Linked DNA regions of Coturnix japonica. The protein of the gene in region 2 binds, or shares a complex with, the protein of the main gene of each other region. Links are inferred from orthologs where the notes say so. Each region holds a gene or a part of one and is shown on either strand. Other genes may lie near its edges.

Region 1 (6,423 bases), on a different chromosome or scaffold from region 2:
AGTCTGATCTATTCTACCTATTCCGTCCTCTCACTGTACTAAAGCAGTACCTAATTACCTGGCAATCTTCTTACCGAAGTATCACCTATCTGTAATCAAAAGCATGACTCCAGTAAGTACATTGGAGCACTATTTCTACAGGAGCTAAGGAGCTTTATTAATACATATCTGAAAGTTCAATTACCTTTCTTGTTGCATCTGGTGTCCCAAACCATGATGTTTCCATCTCTGCCTCCAGTACAGAAAACAGCTGAGAGAGAGAGAGATAGAGCACTATTAATTCCCAAGAGCTGAGGAACTGAATCCAGCACAATGCCATCTATGTGCCCCTAGAACTACAACAATCAGGCCTTTGGTGTTTTCTGTCTAGATTCTTTATGGTCTTTCCTTAGTGCTACTGTAGGAAAAAGTGCTTACAAAGAGTATTTCCAGATTTATGTTTGTAAGTGAGGACTGAGTGACTTCAATGCCATGTCTTAAAACTGCCTGAGATCAGAGACACGCAGACAGTATCAGATCACTGCAAGGTTCCAACACTACTTAGGTCACTGCTCAGCCCACCTGTACTTTGTGCAACCAACAGATTCCAAAGCCCTTTTTTAGCCCCGTAAGAATAGAAGTGGTAATTGGAGAGAAGAAGGGGGAAAAAAAGACAAGAAGAAATGCCAACATTTACCTTTCTCAAACCTCGAAAAAGCAACTGACTTGAGGCTACACTGGTGACCTTTGCATATGCCAAGCAGCTCCCCAGCTCTCACATCCCACACCTTGGCTGTCTGATCTCCTGAAGCAGTGACCTTCAGAGGATAGAATAAAAAGCTTTCATCATATTCTGCACGCCATTGCCAAAACATTAAGAATAAACTTAGATAGGAAAAGGCTTCTTACAATCCTGTGCTCTCCTGGTACCCAGGCAAGATCAAAGACAGCATTTGAGTGAGCCTGCCATTCTGACAAGAGAACAAAAGCCAAAATTAGTTCAGTGCATATGTCCAGTACAGCATGACAGTATTTTGCAGGAGGCTAACAAACATCAGACATCAGAATCCGAAAACAGGTTGCTCCTTTGTAGCTTCCCTCAGGCAAGGCAAACACTCAACCATTCAACTCCCATTGCTTTTGTAAGAGCACACTCACACGGCTGCTTTGTAAACAGGACTCTGCAAAGTATATAAAAAGATGCAAGTACTTCCCAGATTGAGTTTAAACAGCCTGCATAAAGCTTTCCTTGATTCCAGCGCATCCCATACTTCAAATGAAGATCACTGAACACTTACCCTTAAAGATCACTTTGGTGGTATTCTGAGCTTCAGTATCATACAGTCTGACAAACCCTTCTTCATTTGCAACTGCCAATATGTGCTCAAAATTTGGGGCTGAAAAGAAAATTGAAACGTAATCATCTATTACAAGGCTGATCCACAATTGTGCCTCTTCCCTTTGTGAGGGGAGTACAGGCACTTTAAGTGGGGTGCACACCTAATGGACAGCTAGAAAAAATAAAGTAACATTTACACAGTGATCTCCATTCTCAAAATGCACAAATATTGCCAAGCATTTATTTCTAGACATTCCGTTCTTAAACTGTAGTATATAGGAAATAGAGCGGGTCAAGGAGCAGCTTCTAAGACAATGCCCTCTTTCACCAGCACTGATGGAAGTTCCTTTCCTCTATCTTTATGACCTGTCCGTCCACTTGGATGTTTCCCAAGTGCTTTCCTTGGAAGTGAGATGGAGGAGCAGCCTTGGAGAAAGGCCTTTAGGGTCTGATTGCTGGATGGTCCTGCACGGAGCCAGGACTTAGACTCGATGATTCTTATGGGTCTTTTGCAATTTGGGACAGGTCAGCGATTCTGTAATAACCCCATGGCACAACCAGAGTACCACACAACAGCGCTCTGCCCTAAAGGTCTCCAAGACCTGCCCAGGGGCCCCGGGCAACCTGATCTAGTAAAGGTGTATGTTTGGTGGCCCTGCCAGGCAGGGGGGTTGGAACTACATGATCCTTGAGGTCCCTTCCAACCCGGGTCATTCTGTGATTCTGTGAAGACCCAACATGTAGGACGTGGAGGTGCACGTTCCCTGTTATCAGCACACGCTAACACTGAAGCTTGCCAAAAGATCTTGAAACATTCAACAGAAACGAGTTTACAGCGGGACCCACACACCGCGGCATCCCAGGATGCGGCCGTACCTGAAGAAAAGCTGCATCCGAAGGGAGGGACCGGCATTCCGATTTCTCCGTAGGAGAGGTGATCATCTTCCCTACTGCACCTATAGCCATCCAAGAGATGCTGCAGTGGAAGCGGTGAGGACTGACCTGAAACGAGACAAGCGGACCGTGACTGCACCGGCCACCGCGATCTGGGAAGCGAAGGGCCCGTGGGCCGCACACCCCGCTCCCAACTGCCGTGCGGGCTCCCTGTACGGCAGCCCCCGGTGCCCGTAAGCTCGGTACTCACGGTACTCGCGGTACTCACGGTGCCCGGCGGCACGGCGGAGCAGCGCGCGGCACAGCATGGCCGAGAGCGCGCGGAACGCCACCAAACTCCCGCCACCGACCGACCCGCCAAACGCACCTCCACTCCCTCATTGGACAACCCGTGGCGCGCCGCGCCGCCCTCTCTCCGCTCGGATTGGTCAGCGGAGGAGAGGCGGGGCGGGAACGGCTGTTGGCGCGCGTAGAGGAGTGCGCGTGCGCCGCAGGGTCGGTGTGGCGGGAGGGTGGCCGCGCATGCGCGCTGGGCGGCAGCGGGGTTCGCGATGGCGGCGGCGGGGAAGTCGTTCCTGGCGGACGCGGGGTACGGAGAGCAGGAGCTGGACGCCAACTCCGCCCTCATGGAGCTGGACAAGGGTGAGGAGCGGGATGGGGGAGCGCGGGGATGGGGTGTCGAGAGAGGCCCGGTTGGTGCCGCTGTAGCAGTGAGCGTTGTGGTGCTCTGTGCAGGCCTGCGGTCCGGTAAGCTCGGCGAGCAGTGCGAGGCCGTGGTGCGCTTCCCGCGGCTCTTCCAGAAGTATCCATTCCCCATCCTCATCAACTCCGCCTTCCTGAAGCTGGCCGACGTGTTCAGGGTCGGGTGAGTACCGTGCTTTAGTTCCGCTAGAGGCAGTTCTGTGTAGGTGCCTTCGGAATCGTAACAAATAAATGAATGGCCCAATTCTGCAAGTCCCATCTGTGAGGAAAGTGAATGCCTCAAGTTGAGCTTTTCCGTGTGCCCTGTGCCGAACCGAGCCGGGTCTGCTGTGCAGCTGCTCTCAGTAGCACACAGACAGTGAGCCAGCAGTGCGCTCTGGCAGCCCGGAAAGCAAATGGGATCCTGGGCTCCATCAGGAGAGGGGTGGTCAGCAGGGATAGGGAGGTGATTGTCCCTCTCTACTCGGCTCTTGTGAGGCCCCATCTGTTGTACTGTGTCCAGGTGTGGAGCCCTCAGTACAAAAAAGACATGGAGATTTTGGAAAGGGTCCAGAGGAGAGCCACGAAGATGATCAGGGGGCTGGAGCACCTCCCCTATGAGGACAGGCTGAGGGAGTTGGGTTTGTTCAGCCTGGAGAAGAGAAGGTTGCAGCCTTTCAATACCTGAAGGGAACTTACTCCCAGGAGGGGAGTAAGCTCTTCGAAAGGGCTGACAATAGCAGGACTAGGGGAAATGGTTTTAAGTTAAAAGATGGAAGATTTAGGTTGGATGTTAGGGAGAAGTTCTTCACTAGGAGAGTGGTTAGGTCCTGGAACAGGCTGCCCAGGGAGGTTGTGGATGCCCCGTCCTTGGAGGTGTTCAAGGCCAGGTTGGATGGGGCCCTGGGCAACCTGATCTAGTAAAGGTGTATGTTTGGTGGCCCTGCCAGGCAGGGGGTTGGAACTACATGATCCTTGAGGTCCCTTCCAACCCGGGTCATTCTGTGATTCTGTGATTTGTTGGACCCACATTCATTGTATGTTATTTGTGCTGTGAGGCAGTAAGAAATTTGTCACTTGTGCTACATATAGCAGTGCGTTCATATTCTATCCTTAACTGGTAGCCTGCTTGAGCCATTTCTAAAGCACAGAGCTTCTTTGTTGTGATTAAATATGTTTTTCGTAATGCATTTAGTTTAGAAGTTTTTGAATCTGTATTATCAAACAGCTCAGTAAAGATAAACGTGTGTCTTCTGATAGGAACAACTTCCTGAGGCTGTGTGTGCTGAAAGTTACGCAGCAGAGCGAGAAGCACCTGGAGAAGATCCTCAACGTGGATGAGTTTGTGAAGAGAGTTTTCTCAGTGATTCATAGCAATGATCCTGTTGCTCGGGCTATCACGCTTCGGTAAGTAGCACAGAAGTGAACCTAACTTACTTCAAAGCTGTAGCTCTTTTATTGGTGTGCTAATCTGTTCTAACAAAATCAGCTACTTCTCAGAGTGTAGGAGCTGTCTTCCACATTCATCATAAAGGCAAAAGCGGGGACATCTCATAGGGAGTGAGCAGGAGATGTGTAAGTGGAAGAACAAGGTTTTTGCATGCTTGTATTTGTGATGTGAGAGTTGTGCAGATGGCTCCAGGTGAGATGGGAATCCAGTGGGTAGAAAAAACCACACTTCAAGATATCTTTAATGTTGCTGTCCTGCTGCTTTGGTCTCTGTATCTCTAACAGTACCCAGCATTATAATCTTTTCTTCATCTTCCTTCAACTCCTGTGTGACTGAATTAAAATGTGAACAGAGCACTCCTTCTCCCTTGCTTATTCATTTCTCCTATCTATTCAGAACTGTTTCTGTTCTCACTGTTGAAAGATGAGAGTCATTAACAGAGGTTTGGTTTATTATCTCACACACCCATTTCTTTTTATATTTTTGAGATTATGGTTTTATGCTTTAGGATCTCAAAAAAACAAATGATGAGAGACTGATGTTTGTTTGCTTCATTATAGTCACTCTCTAGAATTTTCCCTTTCTTAGTATGTAGTTAATTTTGACTTCTCAGACATGTATTGATTCAATTTGAAGATTTAATGGGAAGAATAGAAAAGGTAGAAACAACTTTGTAAATGCTATTTTAATTCTCCTAAACTACCAAAATGACTGACTTTTAAATCGCATGATATATATTGATATATATTTGTGTATGCGTGCAGTAATGCATTTTAGCATTAAATCTGTTGCGCTGATATCAGAGCTTGGGCACAAAAGTGTCTTTAAAAATGGTGTACCCCATGCCATGGTGTGCTCCTCACTTTATAACAATTGTTTTCCACTAATGATACTCCAATATGGTTACTTTTTTGTTGTTTGTTTTCATTAAATGACTAACAGAAGGCTGATACCAGCATAATCATGTTTTAGCAATATGCCTGCTGTCAGTGTGTCTTTGTTTCTGTAGTGAATGTAAAAGAGCCCTCATTTATATAAAAGCCAAGACTTTAAGCCAGTCCTTCTGTGCTTCCCTTTGATTTCATCTTGCATTACTTCATAGTCAGTCATTGTGCTTGCTCCTTTTCCTGATCTGTGTCTGTAGGATGTTGGGCAGCATGGCGTCTATCATTCCAGAAAGGAAGAATGCACATCACAGTATTCGCCAGAGTTTGGATTCCCATGATAATGTGGAAGTTGAAGCTGCTATTTTTGCTGCTGCCAACTTTTCTGCACAGTCAAAGTAAGGTGGAATTTTTTTCTCCCCCGTTTTTCACATTGCAAAGAATAACAGCTCCACTGTTGCTTACTGAACTTAGTATTTTCTTCAGTGGTGGTAGAACATCCTTCACAGCTGTTATATGTCATGATAATAAGTGTAAGGAAGTCTGAATTCGAGTCTAAAAAAACCTATGAAACTTATTTGAAAGCTTCCATTTTATTATTTGATTATGCACCTGTGTAGGGATTCTAAAATAACTAAGTTTTGGCAAGCATTCTTGTGGTGGTTTTTATTATTAAAATTCATTGTTTGGTTCTTCTGTTGATTTTTTTTTTTTAGCCTGTTTGCTTTCATTTCACTTGGTGCTTTGTCTTTTTCTCTACAGGGACTTTGCTGCAGGAATATGTAACAAAATCAGTGAGATGATTCAAGGTATGTACAAATACTGAGTGATGATATCCAGGGCTTCTTTTTTATACATAAGTATATAAAATACCTCTATACCATTGCCCTTACCCCAAATAATGTGTGTCTTAGTACCAGAAAAAGCCAGTACAATAGCCTGACAGTGTCTCTGTTCCCTGTTACAGGTTTAGCCACACCTGTGGACTTGAAATTGAAGTTGATCCCTATTCTACAGCACATGCATCATGATGCTAGCCTGGCCTCCAGCTCCCGGCAGCTGCTTCAGCAGTTGGTAACATCATATCCTTCCACCAAGATGGTCATTGTTACTCTGCACACGTTCACTCTGCTTGCTGCTTCTTCTTTGGTTGACATTCCTAAACAGGTAATTCTTCTTTCAAATGAATCTACAAA
Region 2 (4,693 bases):
ATATGCAATTAATAAATGTTAGATTTCTGTGGATAAAGAATAGATTCATTCCCTTTCGAGTTGCCTTAGAGGTGCAGACTCGTTGCTAGTCTTTGTGAACAAAAGAAAGTTGAAATGGTGTATTTGTTTAGAAAAAAGCATTGAAGCAATTTTGAAAACATCTTTGTTATGGCTGCTTTCTTTCCTTACTCCGCCAGGGTTATCCATGTGAACTGCTGGCACTGACAGTGGCAGGGATTCCATCGATGCACATCTGTCTGGATTTCATACCTGAGCTCATTGCCCAGCCTGAACTTGAAAAACAGGTACTGTGCAGTCAGCTAGTCAGGGAATCACTGTACGTAGTTAACCACAATGTAGTATTGGTTAGGGGGAGAGAAGAAAAAGATCACTTGCTCTAACCTGCCCAGTATATTAACATAGTATCTGTAGCATATTTACCTTAAATTAAAGGCCCTGCCACCAAATCTGGGTGGTCTTATGATGGTTGTGAAAAAAAAACAGCAAAAAATTGTTGATTAGTTGTTCCTAAAGCAATGATAGATGTTTATTTGGTGTAGTGTGACATGGGTAGATTAGATATTTGTCTAGTCGTAGGTAGCTGGATATTTGGGAGCTAAAGATTCCACTGTTTTCTGTGTTAAACAAATTTCTTGTTTGCTTTTATTTAATCCCTTTTAAATACTGCTCATGAGATGGCGTTCAGCTGAAGTTTAAGCTAGAACACATGGGATATTTAACAGCTTTTACAAGGATTACATTGTAAATTGTTTGTTCCTTTGTTGCTTGTTGAGATGTTGGAACAAATTGTGTCTATGAGGGAGATTCTGAAAGCCAAACTGATGCCTGGCTAATGTTAAACATCTGTGTTGTGCTTTTTTTAATGTCAGCAGAAAAATTTTGCAATAACTATTCTTAAGGCTTCTCTTATTGTGAAATAGAGAATATTTACTAACTCCTAAGTTATGTGAAGAGCTTAGGATCATAATTGCAAAGCAATGTATAACTCGCTGTTTATTTCTTGTTTGCCTTTCACCTACTTAACAGATATTTGCCATCCAGTTACTCTCGTTCTTGTGCATTCAATATGCTCTACCGAAATCTCTCAGCGTGGCTCGTTTGGCCATCAATGTGATGGGGACCCTACTCACAGGTGAGCTGTTCTGCAACACCTGAAGTTAGATTTGTCAATTACGGTTGTACCAAAATACAAACAAGTTAATTATAACTGTAAAGGTGGCAAAACAATTCTTGACTAGATTTTGGTAATAGTTCCTTTTTACTTAACTATTTCCTTTTCCTCCATAGTTTTAACCCAGTCGAAGCGCTATGCCTTTTTCATGCCAACCCTGCCTTGTTTGGTGTCATTCTGTCAAGCCTTCCCTCCTTTGTATGAGGATATTATGTCTCTGCTGATACAAATAGGGCAAGTTTGTGCCTCTGATGTTGCTACGCAGACAAGAGACTTTGACCCAATAATTACACGTAAGTAAGACAGCTTGTATTTCACAAGTAATTTCATGGTGTTATAGATGTAATATAACTATTTATTTACATGTACTTTGTTTTTCTAACTTAATTCTTTTTAGGTCTCCAGCAACTAAAGGAGAGACCAAATGAAGTGTCGGGACTTTGTAAAGATTCGCCTTACAAAAGTTGTTCAAGGGACATTACAAGCGTGGACCCCGATGTTCAGTTATGCCAGTGTGTTGAGAGTACTATAATTGAAATAATTAACATGAGTGTAAGTGGAGTTTAGGAAGAATGCAAATGAAATGGTACTGTAGGTAGTCCCATGGCCTATGGTAACTGGATTTGGAGAGCGCAGCCAAAGTGGATTGAAGCACAAGTCTGTGTTTTCCATTCATCGAATTCAGTTATGGCTGAACCTTGTTGGATACTTCAGAGGGACTTATTCTGCTTGGTAAATCATTTCTAGTGAGAGTAGGCATGATTTTTCGGGTGTGCTTTGTTTCTGATTTGATACAGCAACACACCCACAATGGGTTTTGTAACACTGTGAGGTGAGGACTTCTTTTGTTGAGCAAAATGATGGGTAAGAAAAGTTTGATATCGGAGAGCTTTACTAGAACTGGAATGAACTACTGTTTCAGAGCCTTGTAGAGCAAGATGGAATAAAACCTTCCAAGGAACACTTGAAAAGTGATGTAAATTGCACCATCATGTTGATTACTAAGAAGAAACTTTAACCATTTTATTTGCCTTTTGAATCATTGGTCAGAGTGTGAATTAGTCACAGGACTGGGTTGAACTTGGCTGACAATTTGGGATCAGTAGCTTCAAAATGGATTAACTGAAAGATCAGCCGGCCTACATGGAAGGTTTGAAACCAGCCTTGATGTTTCTTAAACAGACAAACTACATGAAAACCCAAGCAAAAACCTCCTAGTGTAGTAGTCCAAACTGAACTGCAGCACAGATTATTCAGTATCTTTAAATCTCAGTTTAAAAGAGATGAGAATGTTGTTACGATTAAATGTTCAGATAACTGAAGTCATCGTAGGGATGAGATTAAATGAGCGTTGGAGGTGACTGTGACAGAAGTCACAGCAGTGAGATGGCTGACAGATTTCAGCCAGCCCACAGCAGTCACAGCTCAGAGAAGGGGAAGGAAGATCTATGTGTGTCTATGAGCTTTCATTGACGGCTGTGGGATCTTTTGGCCTTGATGGATGTATTGTAGCATTGCAGAGGAGCTTTATGGGGCAATTTACTTCAAGGTTGCACAAGCTTTGGTGTGAAGCAGCAAAGAGAGAGATATTATTGACCAGAACTGGATGTTCTTGACTTGCTAAGCTTGGCAGCCTATCTTTAAGGAATTATTGACAACATCCAGCATCTCTCATTAAGTAAAATACTGCTTTTTAAGCTAAAATCAGCTCATATTGCAGCAATAACGCTCTGATTGTTACTGTGGCAGCTCCTCCATCGCTGCCTTTGATCTCTGCTGGGTGTTAATGGAGGGTTATGCTGTATTATATATGTATATATGTGTTAATGGGAGGTTAATGCTGAGCTCCCACCGCCATTCCAGGCTCGTTTTGTGTGTGTAACCGTGTGGTAACACACCCATACTGAGTGTATTTTTTCTTATCATGTAATGTATGTAAATATATATTTTTTTCCTTATGATGTTGGGTTTTCTATGCGGTATTTAAATAAAGAATTTTAGAAAGAAAAAGCGGGTGATGGGGAGCAGTTCGGAGCTGCGCCGATTACTGAGGTGAATTTGGGGTTAGTCGGGGCGCTGTGTGGGGAGCCGCGTTGCGTAGCGACGAGTACAACGCGGAAGCCAGCAAGATCCTCCACGATTGGCTCTAAGGGTGAAACGGGGGCTTGTTTAGTATACGGCTTGCTGATTGGTGGCTCCCCGTCCTTTCCTGTCAGCTGATTGGCGGGCGGTGCCGAGGCCGCGCGGGAGGCGGGAAGGTCGGACGCTGACGGAGCAGTCGCCTCAGGTGAGCGGCAGCGCGGAGCCGCTCGTCGCTGTGTGCGGGGCCCTGAAGGGTTAGGGCTTTTTTCCCAGTATCTTTTAATTCAAAGCCTCAGCAGGACAAGGGGAAATGGATCTAAGTTGAAAAAGGGAAGATTTAGATTGGATGTTAGGAGGAAGTTCTTCACTAGGAGAGTGGTTAGGCCCTGGAACAGGCTGCCCAGGGAGGTTGTGGATGCCCCGTCCTTGGAGGTGTTCAAGGCCAGGTTGGACGGGGCCATGGGCAACCTGATGTAGTAAAGGTGTATGTTTGGTGGCCCTGCCAGGCAGGGGGTTGGAACTACATGATCCTTGAGGTCCCTTCCAACCCGGGTCATTCTGTGATTCTAAGATTCTATGAAGCAGGCTTTCCTTTATCATTCTGAGTAAGGGAAATTCAAGGTAACACGAGCAGAACAGCAAAATCAGTGGCAGCCCATTTACCCCTGGGTAACCATTAATGTAAAGATGGTATTGGTTTAAAACATCTTTTTAACATCAGAGCCCAGTTAGTGCTACCACTGCTTTCTTATAGCTATGAAACAAGCACTGCAGGCTTAACACTGTCACTGTAGTTAACATGTTGAAGTTCAAGCTAATGGGCTTCAATCTCCTAAAATACCTCTGCCTTCCTTCCCATGAGACTTGGGTTGTTATCTCAGAAATCCTCAGTTTGAGAAACGGACTCTAAAATGATGTGTGCATTTAATTCACAGTGCTTTTCTTCCTTTTTGTGCCCGTGTCTTTTATTTGTACTGCTCCTATTACTTATCAGATGGCGGTTCATTGTAACAAGTAAGCCAGAACAGAAGACACAAAGTCTAAGTTCCTGTATGTCAGTTTTGCTCGTGTCCAGAGCTTTCACCCCTTTTCCTGCTTGGTTTTGTTTGCTGTCATTTGTTTTAAGCTTTCCTTATTAGTAACATTGTCTTGATTCTGTCTTTTACTGCAGTTATAAGCCAGAAATAAACAGGGAAAAGCAGCAATGTCTTCTGATGTGTCTCAATATACAATTGGGGGAGTGAAGATTATGTTCCCTTGCAAGGCTTATCCGTCGCAGCTTGCTATGATGAATGCTGTAAGTACAATTTGTATGACCGTCTGCTGAGCAAATAGCTTATAGCTTTCAGTACCCATCAGCTTGTAGAAAAGTAATATATTTAAGATGCTGGAGGCTCTGAATTGAGAATTACACTCATA
Region 3 (5,842 bases), on a different chromosome or scaffold from region 2:
GGGTGGGAGACAACATGCCAACCCTCCTCTGCCTTATCACCTCACTGCAGGTCAAGCTGGAAGCAAAAATCAGCCTCAAACAGGGCTGTCATGAACACCTGCTGAAAAAAAGATTGTTCAGGTACAGTCTGTGATCACCACAAATTCGGCATGACTGCTCCTCTAACAAGTTCCCTTGGAAAGAATGACCAAGATCTCTTTTTGAGGATGATCTGCATACCTCAGTGCTAGGGAATGGTATCCTATCAGCAGCCCTGAATCACTGTCTTGCACTCATCACAAACATTCTAACTCTCAAAGAACACCCCAAGAGAAGGAAGTACTTCCCTTCCCTTCCACTGTGCCCCAGTGTGGCAAGACAACAGCCTTCTGATCTATTTTTGTATCATCTTAACCTTTTCAGGAGAGCCATTATACACCAAGCAGCTTGTTGCACTGAGTTGAAAAGACCAGCTTTGGAACCCAGGGAGAATACCTGGATGTGGAAAATCACAAGAGATGTTTCCACTCCCTGAGTGGACAGATAGCTTTGAAACTAGGACTCCTGCATGAATGTATATTTGACAGAGGAGAAAAGAGGCAGTTTCTGTCAATATTCTTACATATGTATCTTTCTGCTTGAACACTCTGAGTTAAAGTGAATGCAGTAGAAACTGCTTTGCTTTTCTGCAGGCTTTCTGATAACCATTCCCAACTTGGTGAATACCACACTGTCTACCATGCACCCTCCCTCCGATATCCCAGCAGTTTTGGGAAATGCTATTATTTCCATGTGCCATTTTTACTACAGTCTGTAGAAAGAATCCTTTCACTTCAGAGAGATGGCATATAACAGCCAATGGAGATCTGGAGTTGAGAAATTGAAGGCATGTTCTTACTGGTGCCAAATCCACAAAGCCTGCTAAGCCTCAAGTGCAAGGGATCTTGCTGCAAACAGCCAGCCCAGCAAAAGAACCACTGACTCATTTTCTGATGCACTTTAGCCCCATGAGCATAGCAGTGCCTTTGGACTAATAAACTCTGCCCAGAAACTCTGCAGTACTCAGTGCCTTTGTGCTCACCCTTTCCACTTTCAGTTGCATTTTATATTTAGACTTGTGCAAATCATCAAGGAGGTCTCCAACAGAGCACAAAAGCCATGCACAAGCCTAGCTATGATTGAGACAACCCTCTCCTCTATTAAGAATATCACAATGCATGAGAGTTGGCAAATACTCATTTGTAGCATATGTGCAGATTTGCATTCTGTTTGCAAGAGAAGCTGGTATCCATCCTCTTCACAGGGCTGACAAGGGATAGGCTCACATACAAAGCCTCACTCACAACCTCAGAGTTTAAGGAAAAAACCATGGCTTCAGAGGAAGCAAACCAGCAGGTAGGCTGCATGCTGGCTCTCTGATGAAAAGCACGCTTGTATATTCAATATCCAGAGGGCAGTAACACCTTCTTGGTAAATGCCACTGTCAGCTTTGATCCAAGGACGCCTTTGTGCTGACTGCATTGTTAAAAAAATATATTTAATATCATATCTGCTAGAATATGGATCACTCTTTGTATTACGAGCACATTTGTATAAAATGTATGGGCTTAATAAATTATTAATGAATGGTGCAGCCATAAACAGTCCACATTATAGATGGCTACAAGCAACTCATTACCTGTCGGACTTCAGGAGTCCATAGGAATTAACCATTTATTGAAATTGTTCTAACACAAATGAGCCGTTTTACTGCAGTGTCTTTAACATTCCGCTGAATACTGCTCCTGAAGGGAAAGGGTATTTCTCATAGCAGGTACAGCTGGGGAAGGAGAGAGACAAGTCCTGGCTAATAACTTCCAATCTCTCTCAATCCCTTCCATAGCTCTGTACTACTATTTCAAACTGCAGTGCCTCTGCATATTCACATTTAAGGTGGCACTGACTGGTTTTCTTCACAGCTGGCCAGCAGAGATTACTCTTTCTTCTGCAGATTACTCTTTCTTCTGCAAGGACATGATGTGTCCTTGCAGAGGACAATTAACCTGAAGACACCTTTTACTTGCCCATCACATTCCTCTTTTCTCCAATTCTTGATTTACAGAATGAAATTCCCTTCAAAAATGCTTTCTTAACACTCTATTTGACAAAAACTGATGTGTGTTCATAATCAACAGCAAGTCACAGATGCAGGATATGTCTAGTCAAATTGGCTACTGCAATGCTGCTCGAAGTATGAGCAGAAGCCACATCTTTTCCCCACCTTTTGTTACTTACTTCTGGCATGATTTCGATCTTCTCGTAGCGTCGCTTATAGGGAAGAGTCAGGACCTCAGCTCTGCGGTAGGACATTGGTGGAGGCTGACAGTCTATCATCAAATCTGTCCGGTGAGACTGGGAGGGTGGTGGCTGAGTGTACTGCTCCGGGCAAACTACATGGAGAGGCTGGAAAAGAGGACTATGATGACTTACAGAAATGCCTGGTTGATTCTGCACACTGCCCTACATTGGTAATGGTTGCCATAAGGAGGTCTGTGGATTGACGTTAGCACGCTAACTTAACTGTATGAAAACAACATCAAAAAGATGAAATCCAGAAGATTCAATCAGGATTGAAACCGACTGTCCAAGGAACAAGCAGTATTTGCTTTGTATACAGACGATGCCCACAGTAACAAGGCCTAAATTTATATCTGTAATCACTACATCAATATCAGCAGTCATGTTAGCTGCCATAAGGAGAGAAATAAATCAAAATGCTCAATAGCATTCTCATCCAAACGCTTGTCATCTAAATTGGAAGCAAATACAGCAGTGGTGCAGACCATCACAAAATGGCACTGAGGCAAACGTGTCAAAACACAAGACTGCAAAAACATTAGCAAAATAGGCAACTCTGAGTTTTCACGACCTGTCAGCAATGCATTAACAAAGCATAAACAAGCTGATTACCACGGGGATCGCCACAGGATTTAAGGAAGCCACAGGATATGACAGAGTTTCTGCCAGATGCTTTGGAAACAGCATATTTCAGTAGTTACATGGAGGAAGAAAAACAGGCAATGTAATTTCCACCAGTTGTGCAGTGACAAGCCAGGTCACAGAATGAGCAGATAAGATGATCCAGACATTGTTAAGAGGTTTGGAAGAACATGCATTTCTGCATATGATGAGCTGAAGACAAATCCAAGGGAAAAGCTCAGCCAGAAAAAAATATGGGGTGTTAATTTAATGCTGCCACGAGTCAGAAACCAAATTTCAGTAGAAATAAATAGGATGGATAAGGAGAAGCCACAAAGAAAAAAAGAAAAGCCTGAAAGCTCAGCCTTTCTTCCTAGACAAAAAAGGAAAGACTGTGCAAATGGAACGAGGAAAGCTGTCAACTTGCAAGTAATATGTGAGTGGGACTCCAAAGCAGTGACGCCAGAATCAAGGCAAGGATCAAGTGCAGGATTCAGTTACAGGCGTGGGGGAGATGGTTAAAGCTGAGGGCACAGAGGATGATCTACACTTGGTACATCTTACATTAAGACTGTATCAGACACAGAGACACTAATTTAAACAAGCAGGGGAAAGAATAACAGGAAAGTGTCATTCTGTGTCTCTCTTACAGAGAAAGAATGTGTGTGTTATCTTATTTTGCCATTATTTAATATAAGTCACAATCAACTTATTTATTTCAGACAAATGTGTGAAGAAACACAAGAAAAGGCAACAAGAATTCATTACCTGGACTTCTTTGAGCAATTTAGACACCTGAATAAAATTCAGTCTTGTGTCAATGGGGCAGTAAACACATTTCATGGCCAAGGGCTGATAAGGAGCCAGAGCATCCAGATAGGAGAAATCTGGTTCTGAAAAGAGAAATGTTGAAAATACAGAATGCTACTGAGAATAAAGGTGGTCCAGCTCCTCTCTCATTCCACATTCCAGTCTAGACAAGCGATCTTATAGTAAAGTTAATTCTGCTATAGATTTCTTTTCCCTCCTTCCTTCCCCCACCTGGTATTTTCAGTTAATCTGATGAAAATTAACCCCTCAATTAGACTTACCTTAATCAAGCTACAGAGCAATACTATTTCATCTGAACACATTACTGCATGACTTTTATAACAAATTTAATCAAGGCAAAACCATTATCTCTTATTTTTAATCAGATCTTGTAAAAGAAGGCAAGATGTCCAGGTTTTGGTATCACAAATGTCAGCTTGTTTTTCACTGTGGCAGGGTGCACAGTGCACAGGAACCAGAGGGGCTGTGCACTTGGGGATCTTCCAAAGCCCCTGGTCATGGTGCTGGGCACCCTGCTCTGTGTAGCCTGGTTGGGGCAGGGTGGCAATGAGAGAAGGGCTGACCAAATTTGTCATGCAGACAGCAAAAAATAACGACCTTAACATTTTACTGATGGAAGTAGAGCTTCCATCATGGTATTCAACACTCCGTGCTGGAGCTCATTGGACTGGTAAAGCTAATTGCTAGCCTAAAAATCTGATACATCTAAGTATCAGTCATTGGTCATGATGTGGTTATCTTGTGAGAACAGAAAATAATATCAGCTAATGATACACACGTTAGGAACTGTCAAGGGGGCAATTTAACTGAGTCTAAAGCAAGTGTCAGTGTAGCTGCCTGGGAATATCTAAGTGAGAAATATTAACAAAAAATGATACTTGTATAAGAATATCTTGTTGGATGCTTCAAAAGTCATGAATTGCCAAACATGAAACAAAACTCACACTGGGCAAGAAGCCATGCTAGTTAAAAGCACATGTGCCAGTGCCATTGAATCAAAGCCCAGAAACAGTAATGCAAAAAGAGGCAATAAATAGCAATGAATAATTAGAATACTGAGCGAGTAGCTAGTTGAAGAATGATCAGTAGTCAAATAGGATCAAACCAGAGGACATTTTAAAACATGTTGGGGTAAAAAACTAAGAAAACTTAAGTAAACCACTCTGCTAGAGCTGCACAACGAAACTGCACAACAGTAAATTAAAAAGCTATTAGAAGAGAACTTTTCCATCCCATCTGGCCGTGTGGATGACACAGATCTGACTGTTTGTTTCTGAAAATGTCAGGAGGATGCAACTACTCAAACTACGTATTTTTGAATCAATAGGTTCATATAATTTACACACACATATATACATGTGCATACATATATATACATATACATTACATATACACACACACACATATATATGTAATCTACACATGTATTTCTTGCTCTAAGTATCCAAAATGGCACCAAATCTACAGCAACTAATGAGGACATAAGTAGGCACAGAAAAGTGAAAAATTCCAATACCCAAATCCTAAGGTTGAAATTGTAAGTCTAAGACAGGGCTTCCAACATTTAAAACACGTGAAAATATAACTGAAGCTAGTCTTAACATGAACTTGTGATATAATGCAATTGCTGCTTTGAAGATTCAAAAAAAACCCAGAATTCAACGGCACGATGAAAGACAGTACTCGTCAAGGACTCATTTTCTGAGAGTTACAGGTCTTTAGCTTTTTCCCTAAGACATCTGATTTACAACTGTGTGACACAGTTATAAAATCTTCCACTGTACAGCACGAATGTGGCATGCGTGAGCTGTTTTAAGATCTCCTAGGGAGTTAGTTTTTAACACACTGATGTTATTAGAGTGAGGGCAAGAAGTGGACTATTTCTACTGTGCTTTCTTCTAGAGCTTCTTTGTGGCTCAGTGGAATTCAATATGTTCAATCAATAATCTATTCAATGCTGCTTCAGTGGTAACATATGCAGATGACACAAGCAAGCAGAGCAGCTCCATACCTCACTCACAGCTGCTGTTCTGTCTTGGCTGCAACTGCTGTGCTAGTCTGTATTCTCTTATA
Region 4 (6,408 bases), on a different chromosome or scaffold from region 2:
ATTGAGGGAAAAATGAGAGAGGAGTTAGTTTTCTCTGTTCCATCCATATATATAATTTCTTAATCTCAAATCCTTTCCTACAGAACTTCTAGGAAGATGCAAAAATAGAGGTACAACTCATCAGCCTACTGATTAAAGATGTTCTGCTTTGAAAACTGGTAGATGAATGGGTTAACACTGTCGGTGTGAATCTTACTCCAACCCACTGAACAAAATGACTTCTTTCCAGTAGCGATGAGTAATAGATAGCAACTGTCAGTCTGTCCCAGAGACAGCAACTGATTGGAAATAATGACTTGTTGGTTATTGGTCTGCTCCGTACTCAACCCTATAAATGCCACAGCTGACACCATCCTATTAATCCATCCGCCTCCTTGGAGTTCAAAATTTAGCTTGAGATTTGGCCAGACAAATTCAACCGTTCTTATTCTCAGCTACAAAACTCTAACATCCAGAAGCCACACAAAGCACACACACCAACACTGGTGAACCTTGCTGAAGCAGGATAAATGTATCCTGTCCAGACCCTCATACTCCTTTCTCTTGACAGCCTTGTGACATTGGCAGAGAAGGAGAATATGCACGGAGCCCTCTTACCTTAACCCATAATGTTATTTACTTCTGCTGAGGCTGTCTCCTTTACAGTCACTAAGGAACTTGCATCTAAATTCCAGAGAAGTCCAAATAAAGATGTTAAATTGTACATCCTTATGGTGTTATTTTTTTAAGCTTTGCCCATGGATGTTATGAGGGTTAAGATTTACTTGTCACTTTGCTCAGATTTGCTCTTCCCTCTCCTTCTAACACTCACATCTAAATCTCCACTGCATTTTACCCACTTGAAAACAGCGGCTTTTGAATATTACAGTGCTGAAGCACTGAGAATTGTACTTTTCTAAGGAGGGGGGTATTCCCTCTCAAAACAAGATAGGAATGTATAATGATTAAACTCTCTTTGCACTAATGCAAACTCTCCTAAGACTGCACCTGGAAGAGGTTTGAAGTTGATCAGTACAGTGAGAAATAAGGAAGCAACAGCAGTAAGAGCTTCCTTGGGCAACTTTCTATTCTGTGTCAGCACGAGGTTTCCTGAAAGAGATGGAAACAGCGTGTAAAGTGATCCTCACTGATGTAATGAGTACTTTGTACTTACTGTATCATCATCACAGTCAAATCCTACCTATTCACCAGCTTAAGTGTACAGAAGAGCCGCAGACATTTCATTCATACTATTAAACACAGAGAATCACTCAACTTATCCTGTCATATTACTGTGTTTCTTTTTCTAACTTAGAAGATGAGCTGCCTCCAGAAAGAAATGCCAGGATTTTTTTTGCCCCTGTTTAGTCCTGAGCATATACCATGGGGATTTTATCACTTATTCTATTCCCAGACTCACAGCTGGACTCGCAAACATTTTATCAGCCTGATTTGTTTTTCCTTCCACTTTGCCAGATCAGTCCTAGGTATAAATGACAATAGCCACCCTCTTCTTCCATCTATCCATTCCTTAAAGCCCCATTTAACTTGCTGCTTTTTCTCCAGCTACACAATATACTTTTTTTTTTTTTCCACATAAGATATTTCAGATGGCCAAAAAGTAGCAATTAAGTTAACTTTGTTCACAGCTATGTAATTTCAAAAGCCAAATGGCAACCTGAATAAGTCAAGTCTAGACTTGGTTTCACCACAACCGCAGAGCTCGCAACACATGGAGTAAACACATAAGAAATACTAATCTCTTACTAGACATCACAAACCTCTTTGTCACAAAAAGATCATTCACTGACTACTCCAAACACTTATCTAGGAAATTGTCTTCTCCATTCTCAGACAGACAGTGAACAAATGACACACCACCTGCTTCTGAAATCCAGTCAGTGCAGCAAGATTTGGCTCAACTGTATTAATATTAGCCTCCCACAGGACATAAAGCAAAATAAAGCTATCTGGGACCAGTCTATAGATGACTTGTGTTTCCTTAAATTATTTCTTGTGAGAATATACTCATGGCCTTCTCTCACTTCAGAGAGCTGTACTCTCACACTGCCACATCACACTCCTCTTCCATATTTTGCTTTAAAAATTTCCTCCTGACAGCTTGTTTCCTTCCACAGAGATATTCAAGACCTGTCTGGACACCAATCTGTGCAGTTTATTGTAGGGAACCTACTTAGCAGAGGGTTGGACTTGATGGTCTCTTGAGGTCTCCTCCAAACGCTGCTGTTCTGTGATAATAAAGAATGGAACTAACAAAAACATTGTGCACCCATTTAATCACAACACCTTTCCTGGCACTCGTCCTTCTCTGCTTAGCCTGCATTCTGTGAGGGTTTCTATCCTACACTGGCCTTATTAATAGTAACCACTGCTAAAAGAAGGGAAGGGAGAAATCAGCTGAACATAAATAATGAACACCACAGGTTTTGCAACATCACTTAAAGATAAATAACACGGTTTGCCTTCGGTGTGAGCCCGTGTGAGGAAGCAGCACCGAGGGGCGAACCCCCAAGGCCGCCGATCCCGCGCTCTCCCTCACACACCTCCCGCCCCGCCCACCGCCGCGCGGGCCGATAAACAGCGCCCGGTCTCCACCAGCGCTGATCGATCGAGATCCATTTCTCCCTCCCTCGGTCGCTCCTCACCACTTACCCGACCCCGCGCACGATACGTCCCGGCCGCTTCCTCCCCGGCTCCGCCTCTTACCGTGTGCCCATGCGCGTCCCGCCCGGCTCCGCCCCAGCCGCGCAGCGCTCCGCCCTCCCGCCCGCGGAGCGAGCCGGAACGGGGGCTGTGTACCGGCTGAGGGCTCTGAGCGGCGGGTATTACCGTCTCTCCTCAGGTGAGAGCGTGGCGGGAGCTTCGGGGGGTGTCGCGGTGTCGTCCCCGGCCCTGAGGGTGGGCGTTGTGGGCGCCTGTGTGTCCTCCCACGGCGGAGCTGGAAGCGGCCGTACCCGCTGTCTGAGTGGGGCCGGCGGGTGGCCCCGGTGTGAGTTAATATGTGGTACAACGGGAACAGGGCTCAGTTAAACAGGCAGCTGTGGTGTGAGGAGGAGGTGGGCTGGGGGTGAGGTGAGGGGGAGGAAAGATAAAAGGATAATAGTTACAACTATAAGTACGTATATAAGACTGTGTGTGTATATATATATGTATGTAAAAAAACAAGCAATGCACAAACAAATTGCTCACCACGTACCAATCGATGCTGTGCTAGTTTCCAAGCAGCAGCAGCAAGCCTGAAGAACTCCCACCTTTTTCAAACTTGCCTGCTGTGGAATATCCATTTGGGTCATTTGAGGTCGGCTGTTCTGGTTCTGTCCCCTTCCAGCTCCCTCTAAAGCTAAAACATAGCATCATATCAGGTACTGTGAAGGAAAATAACTGTTTCCACTGATTCTAAGACAATTAGTTTCCCTCAGAGCTCATCAGTGAGCCCTCTGTTTCTGCAACAAGGAGAAGATGCAGAAGAGGGCTGAAGCATGGGTTGATTGCCTGGTAATCCATTGACCTGGATGGACTGTGTTCTGGTGTACCATTGTGAAGCCCCTTGCTTTTGTCTATGAGAAGTCATGAGGCTGGGAGAAATCACTGGGGGCTAGAAAAAGGCAGACTACATGTCTTACATATCCCTCCTCAAAAGAGGCAGGAAGGACTATCCAGGGAAGTGCAGACTGGTTAGCCTCCCTCCTTGCATCCATGGGAAGGTTATGAAGGGAGCCAGCACAGCATGGGCAGGAGCACGTGTTGACTGGGGATAACCAGCTTGGGAATCTACCAAGGGTCAGTCATGTCTGGTCAACTGGATTATCCTTTATGGCAAAATAACTAGCTCTGAAGTTGAGGGGAGGAGTGGAGAATATCATCTGAGGAGGGTCTTGCTGTGTCCTAAATAGACGCCTTTCTGTATCTAACAGGAGATTATTGATAAAATGAAGCCTGTATTTCCTTTTATGTGAAAGCACAATCTGAAAAGGGAGGATCCAATTTGGAATAAAGAAGTGAAAGGAGACAGTGAGATCCCTGTCTGTGTATGTTTTGAAGGTCCATCTGGATGGTGTCCTCGGAAATCTTGTCTGAATTCATAGCTGATTTTTTTCTTTTTGCTTTGAGCAGGAGGTCTCTTAGAAACAAAATGCCAGTGTATTGTGGTGTAATGCAGCAGGCAGCTCAGCACCACGTAGCCACTTGTTTGCTCTCTGCATGTTGGATGGGGGAGAAAATAAGAAACTTAGAAGTATGAGAACTTCTCTTTTATGGTTAGTATGGTTTACTCGGTAAAGCAAAATCTGCATGTGCAAACAACAAGAAATTCCTTTGCTACTTCCCATTGGCAGGCAGATCACAGAATCACAGAATGGCCTGGGTTGGAAGGGACCTCAAGGATCATGTAGTTCCAACCCCCCTGCCTGGCAGGGCCACCAAACATACACATTTACTAGATCAGGTTGTCCAGGGCCATCCAACCTGGCCTTGAACACCTGCAGGGACAGGGGCATCCACAGCCTTCCTGGGCAGCAGATGTTCAGTCACTTCCAGGAAAGCAGAGGTCATCACACATAACAGTTTCTTGGGAAGGCAAACTCCATCTCTCAGAATGTCATCTGCTCTTCCTCTTCTTGTCTCCCAGTTTTCATTGCTGAGCAGGATACCATATGGTACGAGCCATCCCTCTGGCTGGTCTGGGCCAGCAGTCCTGGTTCTGTCCCCTCACAGCTCCCTGTACTCCTCCAGCCCCCTCCAGGCAGGGCAGCATCAGGAGCTGAGATGTCCTCAGCTCTGCACAGCACTGCTCATCAACAGCTAAAGCATCACTTGTCAGTACTATTTCCATTTTGAAAATAATCAAAAACACAGGACGTGGTGAGTCACCGTGAAGAAAATTAACTATATCCCAGCCAAAACCATGGTATTCTGGTTGTTGGATACTATGTTGTTTATGAGTGATAGAAAGCAGAAAATAGAAGGTGATAGGGTAATGTAGAAATGTTAGATAAGCAAGTTACTGTGATAGATTGAATTATTGATTGGAAATTATGGTATAAAATATGTTGTAGGATAGAATATAAAGTTATGGATAGTCACGTTAGTAATTATAATGGAAGAATTTACTCAGGTCTCCTGGAATTCTTTGAATTTCACATCAAGTTGTCACATAAATAAGAACTGATGAATACAGTTGTTCTGATTAATACAGTTGTCGGGACTGCTAAAGTGCCTGAGTTTTGAAATATTCCTCACAGGCGATAACTGTGAAATTGTTGTCATGAATCAAATCCTCAGTATGATACGAAAGTAAAAACTGAAAATAGAAGCTTTTCCTGCTTTCCTTGATCTGTTTCATCAAGACCTGCATTAAATGTGAGTCATCTGGAATGGGCAGTATTGGTAAATACTTGAAATCTTCCACTGTCACAGTTGTTAGGGAATGGAGGTTCTAAAGGACAAAAATAAGTCCCTCTCTTCATGTATTTATTTTCTTTCTGTTAATGGTTGCTGTAGTCTGTGACATTATTACAATTTACCTGTGAGAACAGAAAGAACTGCCGCAATTTCACATGCAAGCGAAAGAACAAACATACAGAAAGCTGCTAAATGTGTCTGAATCTAACAATTACTTTATCGTAGTTGCCTTTAAAAAGCTAGAGCTCATAATAAACTGGGGAAGTGTTATCTTCCTGAAGAGAGAAATGGATTGAGCAGGCTTACACTTGTTTTCTAAACTCTATAACCACGCTGAATTGTTTGCTAAAGACTGCTGAAGCTACCTATTCTTTTCATGCACTTGCATGTATTCCCAGAAGATTCCTCAGAAAAGAACTTAAAGGATTTCTGTTTGTTGTTCCTTTGTCTTTAAGAGGGAATTAAGAATTATTCCAAGTTCCTGTGACTAGTGTCTTGGCCCTACTGTTTTTTATATGATGGAGGGTGTAGCATTCTGCATTTAAGGTTACATTGCACTCAAGCTTGGAAGCCAAATTCACAGAACAAAGCAATGTTAACTTAACCAAAGAGCTCAAGGACAGCCAGAATTTTTAATGCAGATAAATGCATTTATTAAAAAAAAAAAAAAAAAAAAAAAGTGGATTTTCCACACACATTGAATTCACTTTCTGTAAATGTTAGAGGGAATTGTCTGGATGGGGCTCACTCTGAGGTAGTCTATGTGATCAGCAGTAAAACAGTTACTGATGTATAGTACTTTGTAGAACGAGTTCTGCGGCCACTGGATAAATCATTTGATTTAACAGGTGGATTAAGGAATAGGGAATGAGCTCTTGAAGAGGTTTCTTAACTCTCTGCTGGCTCCATTGATGAAATCCCTATGAAGCCTACAGTACGTTGAACTCCTTGATGATCTCAGTAGAGAGATTCTCTGGTGTCTCGTGAAAGCCCAGCATGAGATAAAGG
Region 5 (5,842 bases), on a different chromosome or scaffold from region 2:
GTCTGGAATACAGGGTGTTGCAGAGTGATGCAAGTATGAAATCTTAGTGAAGTTTGTAGATGTGGTATTGCTGGGATCTGCCTCATTCCATGAACAATAAAGCAAGCTAACATAATAAATCTTGTGGTTGTTTAAAAAGCAAAGAGCCAGTGCACTGGATATTGAAAAAACTGCTCTGTGGGAAAGCTGCCCTGTGTACTTCTTGTAATCACTATCAGTGGTGTATCTGCTTCCTTTTACTGTGAAAAATTTTGACGATTTGATGCTACTGCAGATTTTGATTGATATTGCTAAAATAGGTCTTGCCAAGTGAAGAACTGTGGTTCCAAATCACTGAAAACTTGAAGCTAAATGGCAAGAAGATGTGAGAAAATACTTTGCTCACTTGTAGCACGTATACCTCTCTCATAACTGCACAAAACATTGGATTACTGCACCTGCAGCTAAATTCCTGTAGGCATCAATTGGAATTCCCAATTGAACCTTCCCTATGCAATGAGAGGGAGCTACATATGCTTATAGTGTTTCAAAATTTGTATTTCCTGACTTTTATGTCTACGTAGTGCCAGAACTTAACATCCTGTTTACTTGAGGATTTGTAGTTACATCTTTTTTTTTGCCCCTGATCCACTGTGGATTTATCTGATGTAGCCCTACCTCAAAACTGTTTCATGTAATGTAGATGGTACAATCAAGGCATTCTTAAATGTATGTGAAATTCTGCTTATGATTCTGTTGATACATCAACGTGTTAATGGCTGCTCTCACTGCTCTGAGGTAAAAAATAGTTTTGCTGTCCAGTCAGAACTTATTGGACTACTCAAGTCTTAGCATTCAACTTCTTTTGCAGCCTTTTTATTCTTAGTATAACTGCTTCATGGCTTGGTCAGAAACTCCGCCACAACTATTTATTGGAGGCATCTTCTTTCAAGAGAATTGCAGTTCCTTCAATTGAGTGGGCCTCCTGTTTTGTGTGCACTTGGACAGTACACCTTCCTCAGAGTGGAGATACTCAAGGCAAGACCAGCTCTGTGGACAGATAACATTTGGCTGGCTCATCCTAAAAGGAAGAGACTAAAGTTTATAAACTTGTAGGAAAAATTACTTTCAAGGTGAGGTGGTAGGAAGGTCCAAGAAACCATGTATTTCCATAGCTCATCTTACGTATTTATTAGTTGACTTCTTGTAAAGGGACTAAATGGAAGGAGACTTCCCAGGTGTGATCTTCCTCAGATTCTAGTAGCCTTGGAGGAGGTTATAGGTAAGTATAAAAGCTTTAGTTCCTCTCCTGAAGGTCCTTCAAAGTAAGGCATATGGTTCCAACTTTTTTCACGTTTGCCACCTCCTTATTCAGCAAAAGAAATGTCAAACATTATCAACTCATATCTGAAACTTGAGATTGAAAGGTGTTTTCCATGTAATTAATAAAAAGATTACAGTTAAATTGCCCAAACTGAAAGTTTTCACAATTGCAGTTGAAATGTGAGTTGCTGTAGACTTTTCTTATATGAGTCACTGTAATTCTGTTTGAGATTTTTAAATATAAAATTTGCCCAGAAGGAGACATGCTGTTAAAGAGAGCAAGTCAACAAATATGAAAGTACAAAGTTTAGTTCTGCCAGGTCAAAGTGGGCATGCCCCAAAGTAGCACTAAAGTCCACACAGGGCTTTACTTCCATTGGTAGTGTTTTTGTGTATACGTAAGAAATTTTACTGTTGTAGACTTAGTAGGTAAAATGAGCAGTATTTAGAAAATCAATTTCCATCCGATTTCACAATAGTGTCAGTGTCAAATTATGTGCTTAGGAAAGTATGAATTCTGTATTCAGTAGACTCCTTAAATGTTTGTTTTCAAAGAATCTATTATTTTATTTATCATAGTACAAAGAAGTTACTGTATGCAGACTTATTAACAGTGGAATGCTTATGTTTAGCCACCCCGCACTTCTCATCCTGTGGTGAAATTCTCCTGCACTGACTGTGAGCCGATGGTCATTGACAAACTGCCTTTTGACAAATATGAGTTAGAGCCTTCACCACTGACCCAGTTTATCCTGGAAAGAAAATCTCCTCAGACCTGCTGGCAGGCAAGTAGAATACGTACTTAATTGAAGTCTCTCTAAAGCTATTTGTCATGTAATTTATTCTAGAATCAAATTAGGATGTAAAACTTTAAATTCACAAAATATGTAAAAATATGCTTAACTTTTAATGTGTTTCATTGCAGGTGTATGTGAGCAATAGTGCAAAATACAGTGAACTTGGTCATCCTTTTGGTTACTTGAAAGCTAGTACAGCCCTGAATTGTGTGAATTTATTTGTGATGCCTTATAATTATCCAGTTCTTCTTCCACTGCTAGGTAAATACCAGTCCATGAAATCTTCAAGTAATAAGCAACTGAAAAATTGATTTGATCTGAAGAGTTTTATCCAGCTGGTGACAGTATTAGTCACAGCCATAGAAAGATAGAATGTTTAGCAATTATATCAATGGCAATGTTTATTTCTCTTGTAAACAATTGCATGATTTTCATGACTTGTGCCCAAAGTGCAAGAATAATTTTTGTAATCATTATTCTTTTGGATATGCAGTAATCTCACTTCTTTTATTTCGGTAGCCATTATTCTCAATTTGTCATCTCATTTATCAAATTGATAACTGGTCAGGTTCCATCTTTTGGCTGCAACTTTAATCTTTTGTGTATATTTAGTTTAGTTGTATATATGTTAAAATAATATATTTAAGCATTAAGGATTTAGTATTTTCTTAGCATTTGTTCTATTAGGAAAAAAATCGTAGGCATGTCTTTTATTGTGTCTCTGTTTTTCATAACCATCAGATGACTTGTTCAAAGTACACAAGGCAAAGCCAACGTTAAAATGGCTACAGTCATTTGAAAGCTATTTGAAGACAATGCCTCCTTACTATCTTGGGGTAAGATGACTTGATTTTCAATTTTCTATTTTATTAAGCAGCTATAGTCACCTTTCCAGTGTGGGTGCTTCTTTTTTCTATTCTATTTCAAGTAGAATATGTATTTTTAAGAAAATAACTGAACTTTTATATATAGTAATACTCTTTCCACTGTAGTCCTGTGAGAAGGCTTGAAATTTGAATATAGCAACAAAATTCAACAATTGTAACTAATTTCTGTTTGTGACTGATTCAGTGTGAGTGGAATAACACTTATAAATAACAACAAAAAAAATCTGCCCTGAAAAATCTGACATTTGTCCTTAAAGACTTCAGGTCCTCTTTGAAATGGTTACAGTTACTTAAAGTATATATATAACCCTTGTAAAGTTAAATGTGACTGTGCAATATATTCCATGTTTCAGCCTTTGAAGAAAGCTGTGAGAATGATGGGAGCACCAAACCTTATAGCTGACAATGTGGAATATGGACTTAGTTACAGTGTCATTTCATATCTCAAAAAGTTGAGTCAGCAGGTAATGTTGAAGCACAAGAGCAGTAAAAACTTGTAATATCAGGATAATATCTTAAAATACTCAAGTTCAAGGGTTTTCAAGGAAAAAGAGCAGGAAGATCAAGTTAATGCCTTTCTATAAGCAATTAATAAGGAAGTATTTTGGTTCTGTGAAGTGAAAGAAAACATTTAAGCATAAACTTTAGAGTGGACTGTATAGATAGATATGGAGGTACCTATTAAGATCTCTTATATTTAAGGAACATTTTTACATGTACAGTTATAGTAGCATATTTTTGTCCAAAAGAAAACATGTTATCTTAAGTCAAAGCTGTTGCAGCATTTTTTATTTTTTTTTCAGAAAACAGGGATTTGTACTTAGATGTATCTGAATCAGAAAGTGACTTTTGAAGTGGAAAGTGTTCAGTAAATAAAAACTGAACTGACGTATTAGAGATTCTGAATTAAGCATACAGACTAAAGTTGCAAGTGACCTTCTGTAAAGTGATGAAGTTGGTCATGCTGTTCAGAATAGTGCATGTATCTTGTCTAGTCCCCTGCACCAGTTAAGGCATTTCTGCCCTGCTGCTTTCACTTTTATTTTGTTGAGCTGTGCATGTTAAGCTTTCCTGCTCAAGATCATGAGAGCACACAGTAGGCTTGAAACTTTAATAGTAGTGCAAGTACTTCTTACATAGCTATCAAGTTCTTATAGAACAACTTTTATTTAAAAAAAAAAAAAGATATAAGCCAATTATTTGACAGGGGAGCAAATTTGAATTCTAGAGTATATCTTAGCAAATCATGGTCACGTTGCTCAGTGTTCTACTAAATGAACTAATCTCTCAATGTAGGCTTTGTAGATGCCTAAGATGCAATGACAGACTGCAAATTGGTACATAAAGCTTTTCTCACTTCTGAAAGATTTTAGCAGCACAGACACAGTGTTCTTAAGTACAAATTCAGATTCTGATTAGTCTGTAAATTTAGGGTATAAAACTGCAAAGCAAACATTGGCAAATTGTCTTGGCAAATTACTTCTAGCTCTTTGTTCAACTGCATTCTGCCCAAAAGTTGGCATTTATGAACATGTTTGATTTTGGTACAAATCTAACAATGCTGGGGGTGAGGTCTGTCTGATCAAATAGGATTAGGTATTTTCATGTGTTTCCTATTTTTGTTTAATGTTGTGACTGTCTGTTGAGCTTTTAGGAAGCTGATGCCATTGTATGACTGATCACAACTATAGTTGTGGGAGAATCAGTCTTGAAAGCTTGCATTTAGCTCTTGCAGCAGAAAACAGTTTGAGGACAGATAGAGAATTGCCAGTTAAATTATGACTTATGAAAATAAAAGCATTGCATGCATCTTGGTGCTTAGTAATGGGCAGCAGAGGGAGAAATATGCAGAAAACATAGGCACAAAATGTTCACTATATTTGAAATTGTAGTAGACATTAAGTGGTTATGTACTAAGCACTCCTTAAGCACTCATCCTGGTTATGGTCGTCATAGTGTATTAGCACATTGTTGAATCTTCTAGGTAGGAATTTAAAATGAATAAGTGACTAATTCTTTTAAGAGCATATTGTCAATTTTATTTATTTATTTATTTTAAATTAAGGCCAAAATAGAGTCCGATAGAGTCATTGGCTCTGTAGGCAAAAAGGTAGCGCAAGAGACTGGAATTAAGGTCAGAAGCAGATCACACAACCTGTCTATGGCACATAGGAACGATTTTCAACATCTGCTACAGGGGATTACTGGGGAAATTCCTCATAGACCTCTAGACTTCAATATGAAGGAGTATGCTGGGTTCCAAATAGCTTTGCTGAATAAGGTAAGCACCACTGTGTGTAATGTTGTTATTTTCAATATACTACCATTGAAATGCTAGATATTGTTTCATACGTTGTGTTAATTGAAACTTTAATTACTGAAACCATAGGACTTGAAACCTCAAACTTTTAGAAATGCTTATGATATACCTAGAAGAAATCTTTTGGATCAATTAACACGAATGAGATCTAATTTACTGAAGAGTACTCGGAAGTTCCTCAAAGGACAAGATGAAGGTTGGTTGAGCTTTTTTTTATTTTTTATTTTTTTTTGCCTTTACATGATATCACTTTTATTAAATTTTGAAGACTCAACAAATATTTATTCATAAAAGCTTAGCAGCCATCTGCCATTAAACTTGACTTTGTTCCTTAGCTAATTGGAAGAAAAGCAATTGGGGACAGAAAGGATATAGATTCACCACTCTGTCCTTTAGTCTGAGGAGATTTGGACTTTTACTTACAGATTTTGTTCGCTTATTTTTTTCACCAGCTTTCATGATGTATCTAAGAAAATTTGAGGGGATTTTTGAACATTAAGACCTTTTTCCATGTAAGAAGTGTTTTGTGAATAGTG

What was found.
Region 1: the proteins of INTS2 (region 2) and INTS7 are in contact, whole or in part, in a cryo-EM structure (PDB 8RC4), measured with the Homo sapiens proteins. The link is inferred for Coturnix japonica from reciprocal best matches to the Homo sapiens genes INTS2 and INTS7. Residues at the interface, in NP_065799.2 of Homo sapiens: Gln27, Lys28, Val29, Cys48, Arg51, Met52, Cys55, Ala56, Ala58, Asp59, Gln60, Ser61, Trp64, Phe92, His93, Ala186, Glu187, Pro189, Ile194, Val218, Asp220, Ser221, Asn223, Glu224, Ser259, Leu262, Lys263, Arg265, His285, Gly294; in NP_056249.1 of Homo sapiens: Leu38, Gly39, Glu40, Cys42, Glu43, Val46, Arg47, Asn77, Phe78, Leu81, Cys82, Leu84, Lys85, Gln88, Gln89, Asn114, Asp115, Pro116, Val117, Ala120, Ile121, Arg124, Val153, Glu156, Val159, Phe160, Ala163, Leu195, Lys196, Pro199.
Region 3: INTS2 (region 2) and INTS9 share a complex: the UniProt entries of both Homo sapiens proteins name them as parts of the integrator complex. The link is inferred for Coturnix japonica from reciprocal best matches to the Homo sapiens genes INTS2 and INTS9.
Region 4: INTS2 (region 2) and INTS12 share a complex: the UniProt entries of both Homo sapiens proteins name them as parts of the integrator complex. The link is inferred for Coturnix japonica from reciprocal best matches to the Homo sapiens genes INTS2 and INTS12.
Region 5: the proteins of INTS2 (region 2) and INTS6 are in contact, whole or in part, in a cryo-EM structure (PDB 8RBZ), measured with the Homo sapiens proteins. The link is inferred for Coturnix japonica from reciprocal best matches to the Homo sapiens genes INTS2 and INTS6. Residues at the interface, in NP_065799.2 of Homo sapiens: Ile855, Asp856, Pro857, Leu858, His895, Arg923, Glu925, Leu926, Lys927, Ala929, Leu930, Ala932, Ala933, Gln934, Ser936, Ala937, Gln940, Ile941, Glu944, Asn1010, Lys1013, Leu1014, Phe1017, Gln1018, Gly1019, Tyr1020, Pro1021, Ile1046, Ala1047, Gln1048; in NP_036273.1 of Homo sapiens: Ile484, Val486, Arg487, Ser488, Arg489, Phe527, Gln528, Val529, Ala530, Leu531, Leu532, Asn533, Phe541, Arg542, Asn543, Ala544, Tyr545, Ile547, Arg549, Leu552, Leu553, Leu556, Met559, Arg560, Asn562, Leu563, Leu564, Lys565.

Annotation. Positions count from the first base shown.
Region 1 is NC_029518.1:19,450,059-19,456,481, forward strand, and holds the start of INTS7 (integrator complex subunit 7), read left to right. Parts: upstream 1-2,715; 5' UTR 2,716-2,763; coding exon 2,764-2,854; intron 2,855-2,947; coding exon 2,948-3,077; intron 3,078-4,153; coding exon 4,154-4,300; intron 4,301-5,487; coding exon 5,488-5,625; intron 5,626-5,989; coding exon 5,990-6,036; intron 6,037-6,194; coding exon 6,195-6,394; intron 6,395-6,423. Other genes in the region: DTL (denticleless protein homolog), read right to left, coding at 185-250, 677-797, 889-950, 1,278-1,376, 2,195-2,320, 2,463-2,520. UniProt on the Homo sapiens protein: Component of the integrator complex, a multiprotein complex that terminates RNA polymerase II (Pol II) transcription in the promoter-proximal region of genes.
Region 2 is NC_029534.1:6,232,141-6,236,833, forward strand, and holds the end of INTS2 (integrator complex subunit 2), read left to right. Parts: intron 1-197; coding exon 198-305; intron 306-1,047; coding exon 1,048-1,153; intron 1,154-1,308; coding exon 1,309-1,485; intron 1,486-1,589; coding exon 1,590-1,759; 3' UTR 1,760-3,150; downstream 3,151-4,693. Other genes in the region: BRIP1 (Fanconi anemia group J protein), read left to right, coding at 4,479-4,571. UniProt on the Homo sapiens protein: Component of the integrator complex, a multiprotein complex that terminates RNA polymerase II (Pol II) transcription in the promoter-proximal region of genes.
Region 3 is NC_029518.1:96,766,957-96,772,798, forward strand, and holds part of INTS9 (integrator complex subunit 9), read right to left. Parts: intron 3,832-5,842; coding exon 3,707-3,831; intron 2,423-3,706; coding exon 2,255-2,422; intron 1,496-2,254; coding exon of another isoform or gene 1,355-1,495; exon of another isoform or gene 842-1,354; intron 1-841. UniProt on the Homo sapiens protein: Component of the integrator complex, a multiprotein complex that terminates RNA polymerase II (Pol II) transcription in the promoter-proximal region of genes.
Region 4 is NC_029519.1:34,242,451-34,248,858, forward strand, and holds the start of INTS12 (integrator complex subunit 12), read left to right. Parts: upstream 1-2,630; 5' UTR 2,631-2,715; coding exon 2,716-2,842; intron 2,843-4,139; exon of another isoform or gene 4,140-4,256; intron 4,257-5,253; exon of another isoform or gene 5,254-5,358; intron 5,359-6,408. UniProt on the Homo sapiens protein: Component of the integrator complex, a multiprotein complex that terminates RNA polymerase II (Pol II) transcription in the promoter-proximal region of genes.
Region 5 is NC_029516.1:152,146,828-152,152,669, reverse strand, and holds part of INTS6 (integrator complex subunit 6), read left to right. Parts: intron 1-1,934; coding exon 1,935-2,087; intron 2,088-2,227; coding exon 2,228-2,360; intron 2,361-2,840; coding exon 2,841-2,935; intron 2,936-3,339; coding exon 3,340-3,450; intron 3,451-5,051; coding exon 5,052-5,267; intron 5,268-5,375; coding exon 5,376-5,502; intron 5,503-5,842. UniProt on the Homo sapiens protein: Component of the integrator complex, a multiprotein complex that terminates RNA polymerase II (Pol II) transcription in the promoter-proximal region of genes.